7 linked regions of the Oryctolagus cuniculus genome follow. The protein of the gene in region 7 purifies or fractionates together with the protein of the main gene of each other region. This does not show direct contact. Links are inferred from orthologs where the notes say so. Each region holds a gene or a part of one and is shown on either strand. Other genes may lie near its edges. The genes, in order: CHTOP, SERBP1, HDAC1, KPNA2, EP300, ALYREF and PRMT1.

Region 1 (3,500 bases), on a different chromosome or scaffold from region 7:
AGAAAATCCTGGCTGGATTTGAGAGAACAGTTTGTTATAATGAATCAGAAATACACAAGATTTCACAGAACCTGGAACAGTTGACAGACTATGGTTGAAATTACTTAAACGTTCAAGGGAAATGAGAGGAGTTCAGACAGAATCAGTGAGTGGAGAAACCCAAGACTGGTTTGGAATAAACACGAGACTAATTGCTTTTCAGCCCAGGTATTATTTTCTGATCCTCCCAGCAATTAGTCTGCCACTGCTCTTCCATCCCCGTACCTTCTGACGCACTGGCCAAACCAAATGGCTTTCTTCTTCTATATGAAGGAGTTAAACCAGCTCAATCCCTTGGGAAATACAAAGCCAAGAGGAGAGTGTATAAATCTCATTTGTGGGTAGAAAGGATCTTACCCAACCCAGCAAGCCTAGTTACCACACGTGTTACTGCACATGGTAGCAACTTCAATCAAACTTGAGCTTCTACCATCTATAAACTGTTTTTTGGCCCTTGGCAATGTCAGTGTTCCCAATTTACTACACTGTATACTGCATCATCAACACATTTCTGAGCTCCAGATGTTCTGAACACTTCTAAGAGGTTATTATACAGAACTTAATCTCAGAAACCTAGGCATTAGGGAGGAACAGTGGCTCTTTCTAGGACTTTTTTGTGAGGGAACACAGATGAACCGAGGAAATGAAGATTAGAGTATATGGCAGGTGAAGGGAGGCAGAGGTAGGAAGAGGGTATCCTAGCCGTAAGGCCAACACATTCATGTTCAAAGAGAAGTCTGCGAAGGAAACAACAACAAAGAAAAAAAGCAAAGCCCAACCAAATCAAGAGAAAAAGGGTTTCATACAACACAGTATCAAAAAGTCAAAGGAACACACTAAATGCACAACTGGTGGTAGGTTAAGTCCATAGCCTATTATGATAGGTCCTTCCAGCATCAATCAGGTTTCTTTTCAACTGTTATCTCAAGGTTATTTACAGATGTGGTGATTTTAGTAAGAGTCTCTCACACAACGGTGGGCAGGCTTCAATCATTGGTTTCAGGATCTGTCTGCGCCATGTAGGCATCCAACTCGGCATCCAGGTGTCCTTTAGTTTTCGACATGTATGCATCCAACTGGTTGTCCAGCTGCTCCTTCGTCAATACGGGGCGAGTAAGGGCACCTCTCCCTCGTCCACGGCCTCGGCCTCGGCCTCCAAAGCCCCCTCTTCCCCGACCTATCATACCCCGACCTGGCCCGAGGAAAAAAACAAAAACAAAAACAAGAGTTACAATTAGGCTTAATGAATGCTATAGTAAATGCCCCTAAGAGTAGTGGAGCCTAGCTGAGAAAAGCTGAAGGGCAGGGTAAAGGAGAAATCTGGAAACACACACACACTGGATAGAAAGCAACACATGGAAAGCACACATAATGAATTCCTTATTACATGCTCATCTCTAAATGCTACTTAAAATATTATCCGATCAAAGGGAAAATAGCTGCCAATTATAATAATTAAAAAAATTAATCTTTCCTAAGACAAAGAATAACCTAAAGTTTGAGACCTCACTATCAGTTCATTACTGAAATCCATTAGAGATAACCCCATATAGCGAGACAGAAAGAAAGTGAAAGGGCACAGAGAATCAAGGGTGTGAAGGCAGATAGTTTCCAAATGAAGCTTTACTGGAGACCCTTCAGGAAAATGATCTCATCTCTCTTTAAACTTAGTGAGGTCTAACAAGCTGACTTCCCCATGTGTCAGGAGACTGAGGAGTTATTTTGACACAGGAATAATGTGAGAAGATGGAAAAAAACATTTTGAATGGTCCTAGCCCCGTCTACCTCTGATTCTAGTCACCTTAGGACAATGTGGCTATTTGAGAGGTGGTTTCAATTCACTTAACAAAGCACACTCGCTTTTTTGAAAAGCTACTTTAGTCTCTGCCACCCCTGTGATGTCTCTCAGAAACCAAATCAAGATAATTCTAGAAACATGGTATTTCATCCCGAAACTCAAACTCCTTTGCAATTCACTCAATAAGCCAAGTAGCACATAATGGGAAAGCAAACAAGCCCTTGGTTATCAGATTTCCTACAGTTAATATTCCTTGGCAGCTTCATGGTCATAAATTATGGAAGACCCACCACACACTTTAAAAGGACCAAAGGAATATAAACAAGGGACCATAAGAACAGGTCTCCCCTTCCCCTACAGGTGTTGTTGGGAGTGTTTCATTAAGCTAAGTCAGAAAGCTCCCATGAGATTTGGCAGTAACACCATCACCACCACTAAGCTTTTCCAATCTGGGTCATGAGGTCACAAAACAAGTATCACCAAGTTTCTCAAAGGTATAATCATCAAGAGCCAGTGAGTTCACTGACAAGAGTATCATCTTACTGTCCACCTTGATCAGAAAGAGGCATCTAGGGTTCCCCACAGGCATGCTGAACTTGGCTTCAGAGACAGTGCCCGGCTCCAAGTCTACCTCACTCTGCCTTCATATTTGCACATCTCCCTCTTCTCTATTCTTATCTGACTCAAGCTGGTGTTTTGAGCTATGAGGGGTGTGTGTGTGTGGTGATGATTCAGCAGAGACAGAAAAGATCCCAAACTATTTAGTCATTTTTATAATAAAATTTACATCTGCAAGAGTCTGGAAGACTACATATAATCTGGCTAATACACACCTGACTGGTTCTTGGAAAAATGACAGATTTTTGCACTACCAGCATGTGAATTTGGAAAATAAGCCAGTTTCAAAAAACAAAACAAGACAAACATACAAGCCTGTCTACGACTTGAAGCTGTGCAGAAAGGTGGCTCTGAGTTTTTAAGGGAGGAAAATAAAAGGGAGCTACTCTCTGAAGTTGGTAGCTGACTAACCTCTACCACCGATTCCGCCACGACCCATAGCTCCACGCCCTAGGCCCCCTCTCCCAGGACCTCCACGACCTCGAACACCACCTCTTCTTAAGCCCATTCGGGGAGCTACGGCTCGTCCACCTCGGAGCAGGTTTTGACCTTGGAGAGGAGGCACACAATGTATATGCAGGTAAATCCAAGAGAGACAAAGTAGATTCTGACCAAAGGAAGGCAGTGAGGGTTAAATGAGTAATTGAGTTAATTTTTAGGTTGGGTGGGGCAAACTACACACAATGTGAGCAGATTAAAAAGCTGCTCTTTAATCAATTCAACAAGTCTGACCACAAATCCATTTTTGGAAGAAGTTGGTAGTAAGTACATACATTTAATACATATTTACTGAATAATCAGATAGATGCCTAGCATTATAGATTTAAAATAAACGGTTCCTGCTCTTAATACATTCTTGTAGGAATGAAAAACTATACATGGCAGTATAATACTGCCCAAAACATAAGATACAAGTTAAATGCTATGGGTCAACTTGTCCTCTCTTCCAGATACAGTAGTTTTTCACCAGCACCAGGAGCAGAGATGGTTGGTTAAGATATAGGTCAAAAGACCAACAAAGTTCTTACATTTGACTTATTTCTAG
Region 2 (3,500 bases), on a different chromosome or scaffold from region 7:
TCTTGTCAAAAATGCATCAAATCACATGAAGTCAATGACATCTTACTAGTAAAATCCCAAACTGTGTTCACTGCTGAAGCATCACTGCTACATCAAAACCACTTACTTATTTTCAGTGTCTGCCACTGGATGTTCTTCACCTTCAGGTGTTTCCTCAGTCACATTTGATTGATCCAAGTCACTGCAATTATAAGATATTTGTTTCTGAATGTATTTTGGGGACTCTCTAAGGAAAGAAAAGAAAAAGAAAAGCATCTAGATCCATTTACGTGTAGCCAAAGAGTTCTTCGTAACAATTAAAAACTTCATAATCTTTTGTCTTTTCCTACTAAATTTATTCCCCAGTACAGCTCTAAGAGAAAACAACATCAACTACTGGTGATTCACAGGCTTATTCACAAGTTAACAAGAACCAGAATGTAAGCAGCTGGAAAAGTAACTATTACAGACACAAAGGAAATCATTAGAATCCTCAAGTAACTTCAATGTAAAATATCAAGAAAAGCTTTATATTCACATGAAAAAAAATTAGTAACATATACAAGTATACAGAAGTATAGAATAATTGCTCATTTGATATACTGTAACCCAAATCTATCCCATAAGGCATTGTCTTTTAAGACAATATCTCTGAAATAAGAACATCCATTCTTGTTCCAGGAACAAAATTTAATAAATGTATAGGTTAAGACTCTAGATTAGTTTAGGATCAATTTTATTAAAAAAATCGGAATACCAACGTTAATTCATCTTTGACAGTTCCCCAGTTGTGAGATCCGCTACCTCCACGTTTGTCCTCGTGCTTCAGACCACTGTAATGTGAAAAAGAACTAACAAAACTGAGTTAACATAATACTCTTTAGTTCTAGAAATTCAAATTTTGTTTATTAAATAAATGCATTAAAATATAAACATAAAATAAAAACCAATCTAAGACTTACGATCTATCACTTCCACTATGCCTGTCAAATTCACGTTTGCCACGAGAATCAAATCCATCTCCTCGGCCCATTCCACGTCCACGGCCTCCTCGACCTCTTCCTAGACCACCACGGCCTCGGATAGGTCGGTCAATTATAGGCCTACAATACAAAATTTAAAAATTTAGATTTCCATGGTTTCCAAAAAAAGGAGTAAGAGAAATCTATTCAAGCACTCAAAAACACATATTTACTGGCTCATAAATCATCAGTTAAAGACATGCTTTAGAAAATTCTAGTCTATTTCTAAACACATAAAGGAAATCAGAACCAGGAAGCTCCCATTCTCAGAAGAAAACTGTTTTTGGAATCCTCACAGGGGTAGGGAACCTTTTTTTCTGCCAAGGGCCTTTTGTATGTTTATAACATCACTCTCAGGTCATACAAAATTATCAACTTAAAAAAATTAGCCTGCAAAAGTTCCTGAATTTCAAGTCCCACTTGCAGTTGCCTTGGCAAGACCAAACCGAATAATTTCTTACACTTCACACAGCCCAAAAGTTGGCCATTCCCGACCCCTGCTCCAAAGCATTACTACTAGTGCATAACTACTAGTTTTCACTATTATTCACTGATTATAATCAAGTAACACGATTATTCTCCAATACATTTAAAAACTAAATTAAGCACAACTAACCTGCAGAATGAATAACCTTTTTTACTATTTAAAGAGCATTTTTCTTTTAAGTCAAAATCTGGGGAGAGCAAAGAAATGACAGTGGCCATCAATTCAACTGAAACTGCCTCATTAGAAATCTAAGTCTGGACTGTTATCCAAAGGTCTGAGGATAACAATATACTCAGATACCTCAGAAACTGGTAAATGCGATCAGCCTCTCTGCTACCTGGCAATGATGCCCAAGTGACAGCTTTGTGTTAATATAGGACTATGCATTGACAAAGCATGAAAAGACTTTTTCTAAAAAAGAAATCTTACCTATCAACTGAAAACTCTCCTCCTTCACCCTTTTCTTCTAGTGGCTTTTCAAATCTTCTTTCACGAGGTGGTCGCCTTTCTGGTCTTCTATCAATTATTTTCCCTTCACCTTGAAGCTGTTGATCAGGTCTTCTCCCAACACGTCTTATTCCTAGAACATTAGATAACCTGTATAAGCAAATTATCTCTGCAATACAAAAAGTTTAGTCCTAGGCTATCCAAAAACCACAGTGCTACTTTTTCAGTCCACTAACTAGCATTTCCCATTGGAAAAAGCAAACACCAACCATTCCTAATGTGTAACAAAGTATTTTAGGGAAATTCTTAAAAACAAAGTTTGTTGTGAACTTCTATTTAGTTTGCCAAGTTATCTTCCCACATTAAAGCATTCTCTATAACTGTCTTGAAGTCATTTGAGCAGTCATTCCGCCTCACCTTTTTCAAGATGTCAGCCTATTGATAATTTAAAGAAACTGTAGACCAGAGATACATTTTGGCTTTAAAGTATCAAAGAAAATAATACCAACAGTCATTCATAAGTAACCAATTAAATCAACCAAAAAAAAAGTCGTGCTATTTTAGTCTATATAATCTGAAAAAAAATTGAGTAAAAAGACCCATAATTCTATGAAATTACACACTGAAAGGAAAACAAATGGTATTTAATGTTATTTAAAAAAATCCACCATCTAAAATAGTTATTTAACCAGAAAAGTACTATCTTCTGTAAATATCTAATACATGAAAAGCGTGCACAAACATCTACACTAGACACCTAGCTAAAAAAAAAAATTCTCATGTAACCACTAGGAAAATAGCTTATTTATCAATATGAATGGAGAAAGTCTGTTTTTAGGTTTACTCTAACACGTATGTTTGTTTTCAAAAAATCTTTATAAAACCACATTTATACACAGAAGCAGTATTATCAGAAACTATGGAAGATATCTGAATTAGTTACTGATTTCCTACCCCCATACTGTTTTTTTTCCTGTTAATGCCTTAAGTCCAAACCAACATGAATTATTGGTGACCTTAGGATAAACAGATTGATGGCTAAATTCATGACTGAAATTTCAGGTATGCTGAAATTACCAAACCACAATTTCTGACAAAGTCAAAAAGCAGTTAAGAAATTGGTTTTACAAAATCTGAAGTTATTTCTCTTGGGTTCTTTCTAAGAAAGTGGAACACAATCAGGGCATACCCAATCATTTAGCAGCCTGTTACCAAACACTAAATTATCAATCTGGTTATTAAAATGTTAAGGTTCATTCCCTATAAACTCTCAGAATAGACCACAAATGTCAGACCTTACACTGAGGCACTTAAATAAATGTCATCAGAGGCATAATGTATTGGGGTGGAGCTATAGAACCAATTCCCAGGCTATCCAAGCCAAATGCACCCAATTAACAACTTGCTTCCCCACCCAATACTATCTTGCAGGATCTAGAAAAATTTAAATAGGCTCATCTAACGCGAAATAATTGGTATTTTTTTTTAAAAAAAGTTTCTTCTGATACATTAATACATACCTGCAAGCCCACTAACTGCACTAGATTCCAGACTATTATTTAAAA
Region 3 (2,189 bases), on a different chromosome or scaffold from region 7:
ACAGACTCTTGGCCTCCGCCTTCTACTCAGCAGGCAGCTAGGGCTTCCCTCCGCCATTTCTGCCTGCCTGCTGAGAAACCTGGAAGTTCTAGGGCCTGCAGGAACAGGCTGGGAGTCAGTTCACTCCCTCACCTCCTTGTGGTCCCCATCCCTTGGTTGTCTCTGAGGACACACAGCGAAGCACTGAACATAGACCCTGGGATTAAAACCTCCTGCTCTCACCCAGACTTTCCATCTCCTGCCTCCTAGTCTGTTCCTCTGACAAACGAATTGCCTGTGAGGAGGAGTTTTCCGACTCCGATGAGGAGGGAGAGGGCGGGCGCAAGAATTCTTCCAACTTCAAGAAAGCCAAGAGAGTCAAAACAGAAGATGAAAAAGACAAAGATGCTGAAGAGAAGAAAGGTAGGTCTGGATGTCCAGCACTGGGGTCTCAGCCCACGCCCTGCCACATCTGCAGGGATCAGGGGCTCCCAGAAGCAGCAGGGCCCACAATGCAGTGGCTCTCACATACCACCCAAGCGCTTTTCCCAGCACTCACCCCAGTTTCCCAGGGGGCTGCCTCCGCCCACCAAGCTCTGGCTCAGGCAGGCTGGAAAACCGGTCCAACCTGTCTGTTTTCAGCAGGGCTCACTGGGAGGGCCTGGGATGGGCTTTTCTCTTGTTCTAAGTCCAGTAAGCCATAGTGCTGGGAGGGGGTTTTGGGGTAAAGACTGTATGGGTCTCTCCAGAGGGGCTGCCCTTGATCATCCCTGCACTCTTATGTTCTAGAAGTCGCAGAAGAGGAGAAAACCAAGGAGGAGAAGCCAGAAGCCAAAGGGTGAGGAAGGAGCTGTCTGCCTTGGTGTTGGAGCATCAGCCCCTTTGTCCCACTGCTCTGAGAGGGAAGGCACAGGGACAGCTGGTCCCACTTACAAAGGCCTCTTTCAGGGACCAGTCTGTCTGTCTCTGCAGCTCTAGGCAGAGCTAAGAAGCCCCAGCCCCCGGCAGTCACCTGGGCAGCCTGGGCCTGAGGAAGTCATTGTATCCCCACTCTTGCCCCAAGGCCTCTGGGGTGGGTTATCTCATGCCAGTCTCTGCTTTCTCCACAGGGTCAAAGAGGAGGTCAAGCTGGCCTGAGCAGACTTCTCCAGATCTGGCTCCTGGCCAGCTTTCCCACCTTTCTCCCTTAACCCCTCAAGATTTTATATTTTCTATTTCTGTGTATTTATATAAAAATATATTAAATATAAATATCCCTGAGGACTAGACAAGAACCAAGGCCCTGAGGCCAGGGTAGCCAAGCTGGGTAAACTCATAGCCGCTGCCCTGCCAGCCATCCCTCCCCAGTTCGATTTTAAACCACGAAGGGCTCCAGGTGTGGGTAGAAGGGAGCTACAAGACACGCCGGGGTGTGTCCCTAGCAGGTATGGAAAGGTGCCCCCTGTTGACCATTCTAGGAGGGTAGGGGTGGCTGGGTCTTCAGGGACTTCCTGTTCTTTCCAGCCCCTAAGGTAACGTTAGCCATTTTTAGGTTGGTTCTGTTCTCGTCATACCGTCCCGCTGGCCTCAGGTGAGCCCCGAAACTAATGCTGCCCGCCCTCGGTCTTCCCCAGCTCTGCAGGTGGAGGCTGGCGGCCTAGCTTCCTTTTTGAGATACTATTTTCATTTTTGTGCGACTCTTTGTAATAAAATGGTACCTTTCTATACCCACCTGAGCCTCTGTTTCCTGGCACTCCCTGGGTTGATGTCAGCTCTGAACTCCCTGCGTTCTGGTGTACGGGCAGGGCAGCCCTACGACGACAAAGCCCGTAAACTTACCTGCCTTCTAGTTTGCTCCTGGCTGGAGGTTAACTAGTGTCCACAGATCTCACCCCATCCCCAGAAGACCAGTCATTAAAGCACCACTAAAGGGACAACATTTATTCCTTTTCCAAAGGTTACAGTAAAACCAGGTGGAAGAGAATGGTTTTAGCAATTAGAAAAAAAAAGTACAAATCTGGGGTTTGGCCATTAAAAGTTATTTACAACAATGGGAGAAAAAGACAACAAGAAGTTGTTTCACATTACAGACTTCCCCCACCCCAAAGCCTAATACTTGCTTACCAAGTCAAAAAAGAGACACAGTTGATTCACAAGCTGGAGGTTTGAACTTGAGTAAGACATTTATAAAAACCCAGACAGGGGCAGTGTCCTCCCCAGCCCAGGTGCCA
Region 4 (4,005 bases), on a different chromosome or scaffold from region 7:
TTAAAAGCAAACAATCACATACACTGTCCCGGGTCTACTCAGGGTCTAGGCATCACTGAGGTCTCAGGGACATGAATGGAGCCGTCACCTCCCATGACAGCAATGGCCTCCGGAAGACCTGCACGAGGCTCCTCCCGAGGGGCTGCTCTGAAACACGCATGTCCGTCCGTGGAGAATTTCCCTTCCATCGCAGACCAGCGGGAAGCAGCTAACGTGCCATGACATTCCTTCCTACCGACAGAAACCTCTCAGCGTTCACGTCCATATTTTCAAGCTCTTTCAGGAGTTTGCCAAGTTTCACAAAAGCTTCTGCTAAAACTGTCACTGTCAATTTCTTGGAGGTTCGTTTCCCCCTATAAGTTCCCTTTTCTTGCCTCTTCTTCAGCTATATACTCATGTACCAATTCCGTTACCACTTCGTCAGATCCCATGATGCTGAAGTCCACTGTTGACCAAAACGTTATATGGTATGATTGTGTTTCGGGAAAAAAGTATATGGTACAGAATGAAGCCAAAGATAAATTACAAGCTACTGTTAAGATCTCAGGAGGGAAAAGATGTGAACAAATAAAAGAAATGGAGAACACCAGAAGAGGCAGAAACCCATCAGGAAGTGGTTGGCTCTGGACGCGCCAGCCAACAGCGGAGCGGTCGGGTCAAGACAGCCCCGCAGCCGGCACGCGAAGGGGAGTCAGAAATCTTCACAGAGGTGACCATTAAAGCCCAACACCAGGAACGGAACTGAGATGTCAGAAACACGCCGAGCCGCTGCAGAACCTACCTGGTTGTTGCGGTTTTCCTGCAGCGGCGAAGTCGCATCGTCGGGAAAGGAGCTCACGTTCCTCCTCTTCAGCATCTGGTCATCCTTCTTGGCCTTCCTCAGCTCCACGTTCACTTCTATTCGGCGCCGTCTCATTTCCTTGAGACAAGACACACATCCCCTCACCTATCCGACTTTGTTGCAAAAAAAAAAAAAAAAAGGAAAAAGCTTCCCGTCCCCCCCCTTCCCACCCCAGCTCCTGTCTTGCAGCTCCCACGGGGAAGCAGCAGGTACTCACGGTGCTGTCCTTCCCCTTGTTCTTGAATCTGTGGAGCCGGGCGGCCGGTGAGTTGGCATTCTCATTGGTGGACATGGCGACGAGACCGAAGGAATCAGCTGGAAGGCAGGAAGGGCAACACTCCGGTTTCCCAGTCTGCTTTGTCCAACGGAACCCCAAGGGCAGGAAGCCCAGCAACCCCCACCCTGCAGGAGGAACGCCAGGCCGTCGCTCCTACAACCCCCCCCCCTCCGAGGGTCCAAGCCCCCCTGGAGCAGCACTGCCCACCCTTTGCCCGGCACCACACTGACAAGGCCAAAGGGGGAATGATCCACTGCTTAACACAACTGTCCAAAACACTATCGCTTCCACATACAGAGGGATCGTTCACTCTATCCCATCTCGCGTCTCTGGACGCTCACGCCCCTTCCCCAGCGCCCCCGTCCCGGGCAGGGAGGCTCCGGGCCAGGCCCCCGACAGCCCACCACGGACGAGGGCAGCGGCAGTGAACGCAGACCCTCGGGGGCCAGCAGGGACCCCCGCCGCGCTCGCGGGCAGGCAAACCACCACCCCGGGCACCCCGACCCCGCCGAGCCTGCCCCGGCGTTCCCCGCGAACGCCGCCCACCCGCAGCGCGGGGCCGCGCCTCGGCGGCGCGCACACGTCTACACTGCCAGAGCCTGGACTCGCGGGGGCCGCGGCCGGGGCGACCCCGCACCGCCGGAACCTCCGTGTTCACTCGGCCCCAACCGCCACCTCCGCCCCCGCCCCAGGGACGACGCGGCGGGGCCCGCCGAGGCGAGGCCGGCGCCCCGGCCCTTCCGCCGGCCTCTCGCCCTCCAGCCCGCCGCGCTCCGGCTTTCGCCGCCGCCTCCCGAACCTCGGCGCCCCGGAGCCCCAGCTTCCGCGCCGCCCACTAAGCCGCCGCGACACTCAACGACGCCCCGAAGGCCTCATCCGCGAGGGAGGCCACAGCCGGGCCCAGCGCGTACCCGCGGCCTCCCCTCCCGCCATCCGCAAGCCGAGCGCGGCCTCCCGGGCAGCCGTTACCGCCCGCGCCGGGCTGCGGCCTCACGCTGTACCTGCACAGCCGACGCAGGCTTCCCCAGGAGGCGGTGCGTGTCCACAGACTGCCGGTCAGCCGCCCTGCAAACGTCTACCGCGGATCAGCCCTGAGACGGTGTGCCTCGTGCAGCCGGCCGGCGCGATTTAAATTTCCCGGTGGCTCCGCGTTCCGATTGGCCAGTTCGAGCCTAAGCTTTGTACCCATTGGTGGATTTAAAAAACACGTTAGAAGGGGAGGAGGGTCAGAGGGCCTAGAAGCGGAGTATAGCCTCGCGAGATGAAGGAGCGGTCGGGCGATATCCCAGAGCGCCTTGCAGGCCGGAGTGGGAGGACTACAGATCCCGGCATGCCGCGCGATGGGGCGGCTCCCAGCCCCGTCTGTCAACCTCCACTGACTGCGCGTTTCCGCGCATTGCTCCTTGGTCGTTTTTTTGTTTGTTCGTTTTTGAGCGGCTGGGTTAAGCAAATACCGAGAAAATGAAAAAACTCTGCTGTGACCTTGAGGATCCAATGTATCAATAAATTCTTACAATTTTTTTTAAAAAGTTCTCAAGACATCATACCTAAAACAGTTGTGTGAAGGGCATTTCGCGTCGTTTTGAGGGTAGAACCGGAGGAACCGGGCGAGGCTTTCGGCCGCGGACGGAGCGGGGAGTAAAGCACCCTGCCGTCGGAATTTTTGGGTCTTTTTAATTGCGTCATAAGAGGCTGTAGAAGCTTCGGCGATGGTAACAAACGGTTTATGATGTCTGCTTCTCCCAACACGTTTTACAAATTTTTAATGTCAAAGAATTGCTAATCTTCACCCAGATTTGCCAGATGCTGACATTTTGCGATATTTACAGGGAAACACCCGTTTTTCTGTGCATGTGCGTGTATATTTGGAACCATTTGAAAGTTTCAAAAAGCATGTCCTACCCTAACATTTTAGAATGCGTCTCCCGGGGGAGAGAGCTTATCTTTCGTTGATACAATCACACAGCAGTCATCCAATTCAGGAAAACTGAACTCTCCTGGTATTACTTATCATATTCTGTGTTCAGCTTTGCCAGTTGTCCCAGGAACGGTCTATGTTGTATTTAATGCATTTCCAAATAAAATCTGCAGTTTTTGTCATGTTCTTTCTTTTTAACCAGTAAGGATGGTTGTTAGCATCAGGATTATGAGCCATTTGTTTTCTTTCTGCTATTCTTCTGTGTTCTAAAGGAAACTTGCATTGATCCTTTTACTATAAAATAATTTCAAACTGAACTTTGCCAATTCTTGCAGGAACCGACGCCTGCTCCCTTGTAGCACAGCAGCCAAGGGGCTCACAGGAGCTGCTCTTACTCCCACTCGGCGTATCCCCATGCCCCTCCGTGCAAGAATGTGGAAGGAATTCCTCCCGACCCAATCAGCGCAGGGCCTCCTCTTGGCTGCCGGGAATGGTTCGGGGCCGGCACATGACCTAAATTCATCCAGTTGGGAAGCCTATGCCTTTTGTTTAATTCTTGGAGGTGGGAAAGCAGCTCTGATCTGAATAGAAGGCTGGGAGTCCTGAGACTCTGAATAACCAAGTTGTAAAGAAGCTGAGCTCTGGGCAGCAGCCTGCCTCACCTCCGCAGGTACGCAGGACCCAATGCTGTTACTTCAGTTCCTTTCGCTTGAAAATACCGATTATGAGATAGGAATTTGATGCAGCACAGCGGAGTGCCGGGTTTGACTTCTGGATACGCCACTTCCGAACCAGCTTCTTGCTGATGTACACCATGGCAGGCAGAGGTGAAGGTTCAAGTACATTGCGCTGTCACACATGGCTTCAATTTGGCCCAGCCCTGGCTGTTAACTGGTGTTTGGGAAGTAAACCAGTGGTTGGAAGTGCTCTCTCACATTCTCTCTCTCTCTGTTCCTGACATTCAAACCC
Region 5 (3,500 bases), on a different chromosome or scaffold from region 7:
TGTTAACAATACACAGGTTCAATTTTTAAGGATTCAACTACTAGACAGGAATTTAGATTTTTACTCTACACATAATCAGCCTCTCACAAGGAAGCTGTAGAGATTTAGGTCTGTATTTCTTGTCTCTTTACCATGACTTTGTTAACCTTTGTTAGGGCCAGAGATTCAATCTTTGAGTACTGAACCTTAAAACGTTAGAAAAGGGTTTTTAAATATATGTTAAATTCAGGAGGTACACTAACTGTCACACTAAGGAAGCAAGAGGGGCCTCTTACCTCTTGCTATGCTCTATGCTTTTAGGCCCCAGAATACTACATGGCATACAATAATGAAAGACCTAAACAAAATCTTTGAGTTCCTACTACGTTAAGTACTATCGAAGGCAGTAAGAGTAGGGGGGGCAATGTTCTTAATCAAACATTCCATTCCACTTATGGAGACAACAGTAAGAGATGAATCATGGAATCAAAAATGGCACAAAAGTAACACAATATTACATTAGCGCTGAAACCGTTCCACTGAAATGCAAACCTCCGCTTACCGGAGTGGCGGGCTGCGGAGGCAGCAGTGGCACCGTCGGGGTGGGGACCGAGGCTGCTGTACTCTGCTGAGAGCGGGGCTGCTGGGGCTGGTCGGCTGGAGGAGCAGCAGGGAGCGACGGCTGCACTTGGGGAGGCAGCTGTGTTGTGGGCGGAGTAGGTGTCTGTCTCGGAGGAGGGTGCAGAGCCTGGGGCTGTGGCCCGGCCGGCATGGCAGGAGGTGTAGGGACAGGGGCTGGGATCCCTGCTGCTGGTGGCTGCTGGGCCCCTATGCTTGGAGGAGTGTGGTGAGGGGTCGGGGTACGACTAGGTACAGGAGATGGTGAATTCTGATGCAGAGGGGGTTGTGCCAGAGGGGGACAGTGCATGTGGCTTCCTTGAGATCCTGGAGGCATTATAGGCGAGTTTACTGGGCAGGAAGAACCAGATATTTGTGCCTGTTAAAATGAAGTCATTAAGATGATAATTCAAACAGAATGAAGGAAAATTTACATAGGCAGATAGGCATTTAGGACACAAACTAATTAAATGTAAAATAACAACACAGGGTTAAAACCCTCAAATTTAAATTATGTGTTACTTTTTTAACAAAGCCATTGTTATACACATAATTATCTCTTCATATCCAGAATACCCTAAATCCAAAAGTGTTCATATTTTTAAACATCACCCACTATTTGCTGCCACTCTTCCGGGCAAAAACCTAACAGAAGATTCACAAATCCCCTCCCCCTCCCCCATCCCCATAAGGGCAAAGGTCCCCTTGTGAGACATACTTGAGACACTGGTACTTGACCGCTGGGTGGAGCCAAAGGCATATTTGCTACATTCATTCCCTGTGATGAGAACTGAGACTGTGGAAGAAACTGGCTCTGGCTGGTAGGCGGCTGCATGCGAGGCCCATAGCCCATAGGCTGCAAAAAAACACAAAGTACCAAACTGCTTCATTACGATTCTTCTATCACAATTGGAATCATCCATTAATTTGGCCCTGCTGTCAGGTTGACTGGGCAGAGAAAGAGAAGAAAGGAAAACAGGTAAAGGGAGGGGCAGGGAGAGAGAGGAGAAAAGTGGTGAAGAACTGACTTTTACGCCTAGACCATGGGGATGGTCTCATGTCATGGCTTCTCTAAGTTACAGGAGGATGGGGACACACAGCGCTCTATCTGGAACTAACAGGAAAAGAGCTAGCCATTTCTTTGAACACTCTAAGTTAAGTGAAGGACCAAAGCACAACATCCTGGGCTCTTTGCTCACTGTAAGTGGCATGGCAACAGTAAAAATTTTCAGATTCCATGTGTGGGAAAAGAAAAGTAAAACCCTTACAGGACGTGGCTGAATCTAGCACCATTCATGGCCCACAATTGCTCTTGGATTGTTTCCTTTAACAGATGATGGAAATCTGGATTACCAAAAGCAAAAATCTCAACCAGTTAAAGAAATGCATCTGCCTTATAGATTAACATGAGAACTAGGATTCCTTGCTGAATGTTGCCAGCTGTGAAAAGTATCAATGCTGCAAAACCCTAAAAAGGCTCAAGAAACAGAGGTGCCAGGTAACTAGCAGGACAGGGTGAGGGCTGGGCCAATGTCGGTTAAGAGTCCGGGTATGCTCAGCATCTCCACTTCAGTCTCTAGAACCAGGCAATGGCTCCCCCATTGCTCTTATCAAAGATCCACAGTTCACTGCCTGGAAGAGAAGGTAATTATTATGGAGGAGAGGTAAACTGAAAAAAAGTGGGGAGGCTACTGGACATGCGGACTCCAAAGAGAGGGTACTGGCTGCTTTTTGTCAACTTTCTAATGCTATGATTTTTACAACTATGAATAGTATTTGCTTGGATGTGAGCCTTTTTTAGTGTTTATTTTACACAGACTGACTTGTTTGTAATCAAGACACTCTACTCTTCTTCACATGAACTTCCATCACATTATATCCTCGCACACTGTAACACCCTTTCCTCAGACTGCATCACCAAGTCCCTTAGTAATTATTTCTGTGGGATTTCTAACTATTGTTAAGTGAAAGAGATAAGCAGAAGAGATTTCAGCATTTGTTTCCCATTAGTAATAATTATTCCTGTCACTCCACCTCTTTAACATAATGCAACTATTTAGTCTCATCTCTGAAATACATATAATCATCTATATTAAGGGCAAAATACAACAATTAAAATGTAACAACAAGCTCTTGTATTTTGTGTCTAGGCAAGTATGAGAAGTTTTGTTCTTGAAGCAAAAACAAGAATTTTTAGAAAACCCCTATAAAATCCAAACAGATTACATAAAGAAATCAAACCAACCGGGTTTAGAGCTCCAGGCTGAGCCAACTGTCCATGGTGCTGAAGTGGAGAGGTTTGCCGGGGTCCAATAGGGGGCTGGGGCATACTCATCTGGCCAAATTGATTCAAACCTATGAATACATGCAGAGTATAAAATCTCAGCACCCTTCTGGAGAATAAGAGGCACTATTCCTCTATCTGGTCACCATTTATCAAAACTAGTAACTCATTCTTCCCGGTTATAAAATTTACCAGATGGTGGTGTTATCCGAGGCATCATCTGGTTTGGCACACTGCCGCGGATCATAGTTGGGTCAGGGAGAGGACCATCTAGGGCAGAAAAGAGAAATAAATTAAGGAAGTCCCTGCATTGGCTGCCCTTTACTGGAAAACAAAATATGGGCAGGTGTTTTGTGTAGTAGTTTAGATGCCACTTGGGGAACCGGTGTTGCGGCGTAGTGAGTAAAGCCGCCACCTGTGACACTGACATCCCATATAGGCACTGGTTTGAGATCTGGCTGCTCCACTTCCAATTCAGCTCCCTGCTAATGCACCTGGGAGGGCAGTGGAAGAGGGCCCAAGTGCTTAGACCCCTGTACCTACATGACAGACCTAGACCGAATCTATGCATTTAAGGGAACAAACCAGCATTTACACTCACACCAATAGCACAGTCCAT
Region 6 (4,112 bases), on a different chromosome or scaffold from region 7:
TCTACACACATCTCTATTTTATTATGGCAAAGGTGGAAACGCCACCTTCTCCACAACAGCAACCAGTAAAATTTATCCCAAAAATAACTCAGTACAAAACAGGTCTGTTTCAGAATTTAAAAAAAAAAGAAAAAGAAAAAAAAAGCCTTTACATGAGTTCTTAAATCCTATTTTAAAACACAAAAGAAACAAACGCATCCTTGGCCACACAGCGCCGGCCGCCCTCCCGCCAGGCACAGGGACGCCGTGTCGGTCCCGCTCTGCTCGCTCGCCTCCTTTAGCTGGTGTCCATCTGCAAAGGGCAACAGAGGGGAGCTCACCAGGGGCTGCCGGGCCGGGCCGGCCGGGCCAGCCGCGCTCCCGGCCCCGCGGGACTCACCCTGGCGTTGTAGGCGTCCAGCTGGGCGTCCAGCTCCTCTGCAGACAGCTGCTGCCTGGCGCTCCTGCCGGTGCCTCTGCCCCTGCCGCGGCTGCCGCCACGCGCGCCTCTCCGGGTGCCGCCGCCGAAGGCCCCGGGGCCGCGGGTTCTGGTCACGCCGCCTCTGCTTATGCTGGGGGAAGCGGCGCTCGCTCAGACACTGGCAGGCCCCCACGGCCGCCCGGCCCGCGCGCGGCCCGCGCCTCACCTCTGTGCCGGTCTCCGCTGGGTGTCGATCTGTGACGTGACGAGCTGGATGTTCATGGGGCGGCCTGTGCGGAGAGCGAGAGGGGCCCGTTCTAACCAGCGGCTCGGAGCGCCCAGCGGCTCCACGCCCTGCGCTCCATGCAGGCGCTGGCAAGGGCCTTCGTGTGTCCAGCGCCCCCGTCGGGGAGGTGGCCTGGAGCCTGGCGGGGGCTCCGGCGAGGGCAGCGGCCCCGCCGACACCGCCTCATCCTCGGGCTGCTTGGTCAGGTGTGGTGTCCGGGGTGCTCGTGGGCGGACAGGTGTGGGCGGCCTGACGAAGAAGAACCGGTACCTTTGTCTTTACGACTACAGCCCCGCACTCAGAGGTGTACTATGGCGGTTCTGAGAAGGCTTCACAGAAGTGAGTCTTCCGGAAGGAGCTGAGGGGAGGGTGTACTTGCTGGATGGGGGTTCACAAGAGGTTGGTCCCGATGTGCGGGGCAGAATGGAAGAGAGAGACAAAGGGGCAAATGCAAAGTGTCCTCAGCCAGAGGGCAAGCCGCTGCTACGGGCCGGGGCCGCCCACTCCGCGAGCCCGTCCCGGACTCACCGTCCAAGGGCACGCCGTTGTACTGCTTCATGGCCTTCAGCGCGTCCGCCTTCCGCTCGAAGTGCACGTCTGCCGTGCCCAAGCTGCGGCCGGAGCGGTCGTAGTGCACGGCCGCCTTCTTCAGCGTCCCGAACTCCGCGAACAGCTCCTGGTCAGACAGAGAGCTGTAGCCAGGCCCCGGAGGCCCAGCGCCGTGGGGCGTCTCCCGGGGTGCGGGGGAAGGGCCGGGCCGCAGACACAGCAGCTTCCGAGAGCGCCCGGGGCCCAGGGCCGCTGCGTATCCGCGCCTCGCTGCAGGGGATGGAATCGCAAAGCCCGCGTCTGCCGTCACTTCCAGCAAACTGACTGCGCCCAGGGCGGCGGGGGCAGCTGCCCGGCCCGCCCCCGCCCCCGGCAGAGGCTGGCTCCCCCTCCCTCTCCGCCCCACGCCCGCAGCCAAGTGCTGCTGAGCCGCCTGACCCCAGGCAGGCTGGGCGTCGGAGAGGGAACCAGAGTGGGACACGCCGGCCGCGGGCACAGCGGGAAGGAGGTCACCGAGAGCGGCTTCCAGTGGACGCCAGAGACCACCTTAGAAAAAGCCAGCGCTCAGGCCCAGCGTCCGCCGGCCGTCCGAAGGCGGACTCCTACCAGTCAGCCCCAGGCAAGAGCCAGCCCCCCTGGGCTCAGAGCAAAAGGGAAAAAAAGACAAAAGAGAGTGCGGGAAACCAGAAAGGCTGCACCCACGCGGGTCCGAGGCCGCCCGGCTGCCAGCTCGCGGGGTCGGCCCGGCCCGCCTCGGCCCCCCGCCCAGCCCCGGCCGGCCGCTTACCTGGATGTCGGCGTCCGACACGCCGAAGTCCAGGTTGGACACCAGCAGCTTCCCGCCCGTCTCCACGCCGGCGCCGGCCCCGAAGCCGCTGTCGAACAGGTCGTGCTGCCACTTGTCGGGAAGCTGCTTCGGCTGCGGGAGGAGGCGCCGCGGCGGGGCGGAGCGTGAGCCTCCCCGCAGGCCGCCCCGCGCGCCCCCACGCACTTCCCGCCGCCCCGCGCGCCCCGGCCACACAAAGACCCCAGGAGGCCCCGGCGCCCGGCCGGCTCCCCCGCGCGGCCTCGCCCGCGCCGCCGCCCGGCCCGCCCCGCGCCGCCGGCCCCCGCAGCGCGCACCCCCGGCCCCGCTCGCCCCCGCCGCCCGCGGCGGCGGCCGGCCCGGCACTCACCCGGCTGTAGGGCGCCGGCCGGTTTCTGCCGCCGCCGCCGGCCGCGCCGCGGGCAATGGCCGGCCGGTTCCGGAGGGGCCCGCCGCCGCGGCTCACGCGCGCGGCCGCCTGCGCTCCGCCGCCGCGGCCGCCCTGGGAGCCGGCCCGGCCGCGGCCCCGGCCCCCGCCGCGGCCGCCCCGCTGGCTCCGGTTCAGTTTGATGATGTCGTCCAGAGACATGTCCATTTTGTCGGCCATGGCGGGCGCCGAATCGGCCTCAGCTCGATCCCGCGCGTCAGCACGCCGCGGCGTCACTTCCGGCGGCGCGCGCGGACTTCCGGCGCCGCGGCCTCGGCGCTGGCGCTGATTGGCGGCGGGCGGCGGCTGCGCGCGCGGGGCGGAGGGGCGCGTGCGCAGTGCGCGCGGAGCGGGCGGGCGCGGACTGGAGCTGCCGGCCGCGGCCGCGGTCGTTTTTATACCTTCCCGCGCGGACGCGGGCGCCGCCAACGGAAGGGCGGGGCGGCGCGCGGTCAGGTCGCACAAGGTGCGAGGGCGCCGGGGATTGGGGCGGCCGCGGGGGGCGGGGCCGGGCGGGCGAGGGGCGGGGTCGGCGGGCGGCGGCGGCCGGGGGTCGCGGCGTCTGCCGGCTCACGCGCGCCCCTCCCGGCCCGCAGGCCCCGGCGCCATGAGGGTGAAGATCAAGTGCTGGAACGGCGTGGCCACCTGGCTCTGGGTGGCCAACGACGAGAACTGCGGCATCTGCCGGATGGCGTTCAACGGCTGCTGCCCCGACTGTGAGTGCCCGGAAGGGCGGTCGCGGAGAGCGCGAGGCCGGCCCGGAACGCCGCCCGGGTGCCCCCGGGGGCGCAGGGCCATCGCCGCTGCCCTGCCCGGACGGGAGGAGGAGGCCGCACGTCGGCCCCTGCACCGAGAAATCTGCGGAGCCCCCACCGCCCTCGCCTGGGGCGCGGTGGCAGCGGCTCGCGGCGCCTGTTAGGATTTACTTATTTACTTGAGAATCCGTTACGGAGAAGCAGAGCGGGGAGAGAGGTCTGCCATCCGCTGGTTCACCCCCCACATGGCTGCAACGGCCGGAGCTGCGCCGACCCAGGGCCAGGAGCCTCCTCCGGGTCTCCCACGCGGGTGCAGGGCCCAAGCACTCGGGCCGTCTTCCACTGCGTTCCCAGGCCACAGCAGAGAGCTGGGTGGGAAGTGGAGCAGCCGGGACTCGAACCGGGGCCCATACGGGATGCCGGCGCTGCAGGCGGTGGCTTTACCCGCTGTGCCACAGCGCGGGCCCCTAACTGTGGTTTAGTTTTTCCTTCCACCCTGGCTGGAGAGAGAGCTCATCAGGAGCGATCGCCCGCCGGGACTGGGTCGGTGGGTGGGTGCCGGGCTCTGGGAGTGGATTTCTCTCCACACCCTCTTCTGTCGTGCCCCGGGGTCATCCCCTCCAGGCCGGCCCTTTGATTGGCTTTTCCTGGTAGCAGAGATTAGCAATTGGCGTTATTCAGCGTTTAGATTGCTCTGGAGGGCGGGACACAGCCCGAGGCCAGGGCTTGCACCTTTCAGAGCAACGTTGTTAACCTCGGCAAGTCCCGAGGAAGCTGCCCGAGCCCACGTCTCTAACCAAGGCAGTGTCTCTAACCGTGGCCTTGCCTGTCGTGTCTTCTCGCGTGGCCGGCACTGGGCCTGTGAGGGGCGTCCAGGCACTCAGCGCTGG
Region 7 (2,422 bases):
CCTCTACTGCGCCTGCGCAGCTGGTACTCCTGGGTCAGCTCGGCCCAGCCGTTGCCTTGGAGACCAAGCCTGGTGCTCTGTAGGACCCGAGCCTGGGTGGGCGCGCGCGCATGCGTGCCTGAGCCCGCCACGGAGGTCACGGCCTGCCGGGCCTGCCGGTCTCTGCCGCCCTCTAGTGACCGGCAGTGGGACTGCGCCCCAGCCCCCGTGGCTTCCGAGTCCGTTTCACCGAGAGACCATGCAGCTGGGGTGACATTCCAGGACGTTTCTCCCTTGGCTGCTTGCTTTTTTTTTTTTTTTTTTTTTTTGACAGGTAGAGTAGACAGAGACAGAGAGAAAGGTCTTCCTTCCCTAGGTTCATCCCCCAAACGGCCGGCGCTGTGCCGATCCAAAGCCAGGAGCTTCCTCCTGGTCTCCATGGGGTGCAGGGCCCAAGCACTTGGGCCATCCTCCACTGCACTCCCGGGCCACAGCAGAGAGCTGGCCTGGAAGAGGAGCAACCGGGACAGAATCCGGCGCCCCGACCGGGACTAGAACCCGGTGTGCCGGCGCCGCTAGGTGGAGGATTAGCCTAGTGAGCCGCGGCACCAGCCCTGCTTTTCTTATTATAAAATTGCGTTGTTCATATAGATGTATTTTTCTTAAATCTACATTTTAAAAATCTTTTAAAGTCTCTGGCGAAGGCAGAGAGACAGAGATGTCCCATCAAATGCTCCTAAGCGCCAGGGCTGGGCCAGGCTGACGCTGGGAGCCAGGAGCTCCACCCAGGTCTCCCACGAGTCACCTGCTACCTGCCTGGGCTGTGGGGGCGGAGCAGGGACGCCCCCAGGCGCGGCCGTGCTGTGGCAGACACCCACCCTGTGCTTATACTCTTTCCCCTGTTTTAATTCATCTTATTAATTTGAAAAGCAGAGTGACAGGGAAAGAAAGCCTCCGTTTGCTGGTTCACTCCCCACAGGCCAGGGCTGGGCCGGCCGAGACCAGGAGCCTGGACCCCACCCAGGTCTCCCACGTGGGAGGCGGGGCCCAAGCGCTTGCACCACCTTCGGCTGCCTCCCCAGACGCACTAGCCGGGAGCTGGACTGGAAGTGGAGCATCCGGGACTCGAACTGTGGTTGTGGGTCCCAGGTGGTGTTGGCTTGGCTCGCGCGCCAGGGCTGTGTGGTCTCCGTCATTCCAGTTCCTGTCCGTGCGCTGCTGGAGGGAGCCCTGCAGACCCCGGCTGAGCTGAGCTTCCTCCCCCGGTCTGATTTTTACAAGTAGGAAAACAGGTGCACACCTCCCGGTGTTGTTTCCAGGGCTCAGAGCCCGCAGTGGGGCCGCCCCCGGCCGTGCAGCCCGGCTGTGGGGGGCTGGCGCCCTCATGGTGGCCGCGTGCTCTCGCCCTAGGAGATGCTGAAAGACGAGGTGCGCACGCTCACGTACCGCAACTCCATGTTTCACAACCGGCACCTGTTCAAGGACAAGGTGGTGCTGGACGTGGGCTCGGGCACCGGCATCCTCTGCATGTTCGCCGCCAAGGCCGGGGCGCGCAAGGTCATCGGGGTGAGTCTGGGGCGTCTGGGCGGCGAGGGCGGCCAGGGCGGGGAGCTGCCGGGGGCTCACCCTTCTGTCTGGCCCCCAGATCGAGTGCTCCAGCATCTCTGATTACGCGGTGAAGATCGTCAAAGCCAACAAGCTAGACCACGGTGAGCCCCGGAGGAGGAGGGGTCTGTGGGGGCGGAGTGGGCGACCCCCAGTCCCACAGGGCACAGCTCAGAGCAGGACACGCTGGCCGCCTGCGGAGAGAGAAACTCAGAATTGCAGAGAGGGAGAGGGAGAGAGAGAGAGGTCCTCCATCCGCTGGTTCTCTCCCTGAATGGCCGCCATGGCCAGGGCAGGGCCAGGCCGCAGCCAGGAGCCAGGAGCTTCATCCAGGTCTCCCACGTGGGGCCATCTTCCACCACTTTCCCAGGCGCATTAGCAGGGAGCTGGATGGGAAGTGGAGCAGCCGGGACTTGAACCGGTGCCCGTGTGGGTGCTGGCGCTGCAGGCAGCGCTTTACCCGCTGCGCCACAGCTCGGGCCACGTGCACGGTTCTCATCGGCATCTTGTGCAAATCCATTGCCCTTTGCCCTTTGCTGTTTGGCTGCTGCAGATGCTGTTCTGTCCCCTGGCTGTGTCCTGCGCCAGGTGCCGCGGCTGTTTGTTTCTTTTTTGTAATGTGAAAGACACACACACACACACACACACACACACCCCGCTGGCTCCCTCCCCAGTGCCTGCAGCAGCTCGGGCAGGGCTCCCCCAGGCCTCCCACGGGGGCAGGGCCCGGCCTCGCGAGCCTGGGGGTGCCAGGAGGTTTCCCAGGTCCGAAGGCTTCCAGGAGCGGAGGCATTCTTTCAGCGGATTCATTGGAAAGGCTGAGGGAGAGAGAGGTCTG

Evidence for each region.
Region 1: the proteins of PRMT1 (region 7) and CHTOP purify together in Homo sapiens (affinity purification with western blotting; 7 studies listed by BioGRID and IntAct, with this or other methods). This does not show direct contact. The link is inferred for Oryctolagus cuniculus from reciprocal best matches to the Homo sapiens genes PRMT1 and CHTOP.
Region 2: the proteins of PRMT1 (region 7) and SERBP1 purify together in Homo sapiens (affinity purification with mass spectrometry; 3 studies listed by BioGRID and IntAct, with this or other methods). This does not show direct contact. The link is inferred for Oryctolagus cuniculus from reciprocal best matches to the Homo sapiens genes PRMT1 and SERBP1.
Region 3: the proteins of PRMT1 (region 7) and HDAC1 purify together in Homo sapiens (affinity purification with western blotting; 3 studies listed by BioGRID, with this or other methods). This does not show direct contact. The link is inferred for Oryctolagus cuniculus from reciprocal best matches to the Homo sapiens genes PRMT1 and HDAC1.
Region 4: the proteins of PRMT1 (region 7) and KPNA2 fractionate together in Homo sapiens (co-fractionation; 3 studies listed by BioGRID, with this or other methods). This does not show direct contact. The link is inferred for Oryctolagus cuniculus from reciprocal best matches to the Homo sapiens genes PRMT1 and KPNA2.
Region 5: the proteins of PRMT1 (region 7) and EP300 purify together in Homo sapiens (affinity purification with western blotting; 4 studies listed by BioGRID, with this or other methods). This does not show direct contact. The link is inferred for Oryctolagus cuniculus from reciprocal best matches to the Homo sapiens genes PRMT1 and EP300.
Region 6: the proteins of PRMT1 (region 7) and ALYREF purify together in Homo sapiens (affinity purification with mass spectrometry; 3 studies listed by BioGRID and IntAct, with this or other methods). This does not show direct contact. The link is inferred for Oryctolagus cuniculus from reciprocal best matches to the Homo sapiens genes PRMT1 and ALYREF.

The regions. Positions count from the first base shown.
Region 1 is NC_091438.1:44,665,075-44,668,574, forward strand, and holds the end of CHTOP (chromatin target of PRMT1 protein), read right to left. Parts: intron 3,005-3,500; coding exon 2,867-3,004; intron 1,232-2,866; coding exon 1,026-1,231; 3' UTR 18-1,025; downstream 1-17. UniProt on the Homo sapiens protein: Plays an important role in the ligand-dependent activation of estrogen receptor target genes. May play a role in the silencing of fetal globin genes.
Region 2 is NC_091438.1:105,138,149-105,141,648, reverse strand, and holds part of SERBP1 (SERPINE1 mRNA-binding protein 1), read right to left. Parts: intron 2,069-3,500; coding exon 1,918-2,068; intron 1,083-1,917; coding exon 942-1,082; intron 831-941; coding exon 741-830; intron 227-740; coding exon 107-226; intron 1-106. UniProt on the Homo sapiens protein: Ribosome-binding protein that promotes ribosome hibernation, a process during which ribosomes are stabilized in an inactive state and preserved from proteasomal degradation.
Region 3 is NC_091438.1:140,146,351-140,148,539, reverse strand, and holds the end of HDAC1 (histone deacetylase 1), read left to right. Parts: intron 1-249; coding exon 250-402; intron 403-768; coding exon 769-817; intron 818-1,088; coding exon 1,089-1,116; 3' UTR 1,117-1,689; downstream 1,690-2,189. UniProt on the Homo sapiens protein: Histone deacetylase that catalyzes the deacetylation of lysine residues on the N-terminal part of the core histones (H2A, H2B, H3 and H4).
Region 4 is NC_091448.1:13,973,730-13,977,734, reverse strand, and holds the start of KPNA2 (importin subunit alpha-1), read right to left. Parts: upstream 2,801-4,005; 5' UTR 2,666-2,800; intron 2,428-2,665; exon of another isoform or gene 2,296-2,427; 5' UTR 2,052-2,295; coding exon 2,030-2,051; exon of another isoform or gene 1,918-2,029; intron 1,684-1,917; exon of another isoform or gene 1,665-1,683; intron 1,572-1,664; exon of another isoform or gene 1,414-1,571; intron 1,157-1,413; coding exon 1,059-1,156; intron 920-1,058; coding exon 782-919; intron 1-781.
Region 5 is NC_091442.1:117,220,126-117,223,625, reverse strand, and holds part of EP300 (histone acetyltransferase p300), read right to left. Parts: intron 3,152-3,500; coding exon 3,074-3,151; intron 2,953-3,073; coding exon 2,843-2,952; intron 1,454-2,842; coding exon 1,316-1,453; intron 977-1,315; coding exon 542-976; intron 1-541. UniProt on the Homo sapiens protein: Functions as a histone acetyltransferase and regulates transcription via chromatin remodeling. Acetylates all four core histones in nucleosomes. Histone acetylation gives an epigenetic tag for transcriptional activation.
Region 6 is NC_091448.1:1,021,319-1,025,430, reverse strand, and holds ALYREF (THO complex subunit 4), read right to left. Parts: upstream 2,801-4,112; 5' UTR 2,648-2,800; coding exon 2,411-2,647; intron 2,155-2,410; coding exon 2,023-2,154; intron 1,363-2,022; coding exon 1,215-1,362; intron 691-1,214; coding exon 627-690; intron 552-626; coding exon 380-551; intron 293-379; coding exon 278-292; 3' UTR 1-277. Other genes in the region: ANAPC11 (anaphase-promoting complex subunit 11), read left to right, coding at 3,075-3,183. UniProt on the Homo sapiens protein: Functions as an mRNA export adapter; component of the transcription/export (TREX) complex which is thought to couple mRNA transcription, processing and nuclear export, and specifically associates with spliced mRNA and not with unspliced pre-mRNA.
Region 7 is NC_091449.1:7,826,829-7,829,250, reverse strand, and holds part of PRMT1 (protein arginine N-methyltransferase 1), read left to right. Parts: intron 1-1,389; coding exon 1,390-1,545; intron 1,546-1,624; coding exon 1,625-1,688; intron 1,689-2,422. UniProt on the Homo sapiens protein: Arginine methyltransferase that methylates (mono and asymmetric dimethylation) the guanidino nitrogens of arginyl residues present in proteins such as ESR1, histone H2, H3 and H4, FMR1, ILF3, HNRNPA1, HNRNPD, NFATC2IP, SUPT5H, TAF15, EWS, HABP4, SERBP1, RBM15, FOXO1, CHTOP, MAP3K5/ASK1, MICU1 and NPRL2.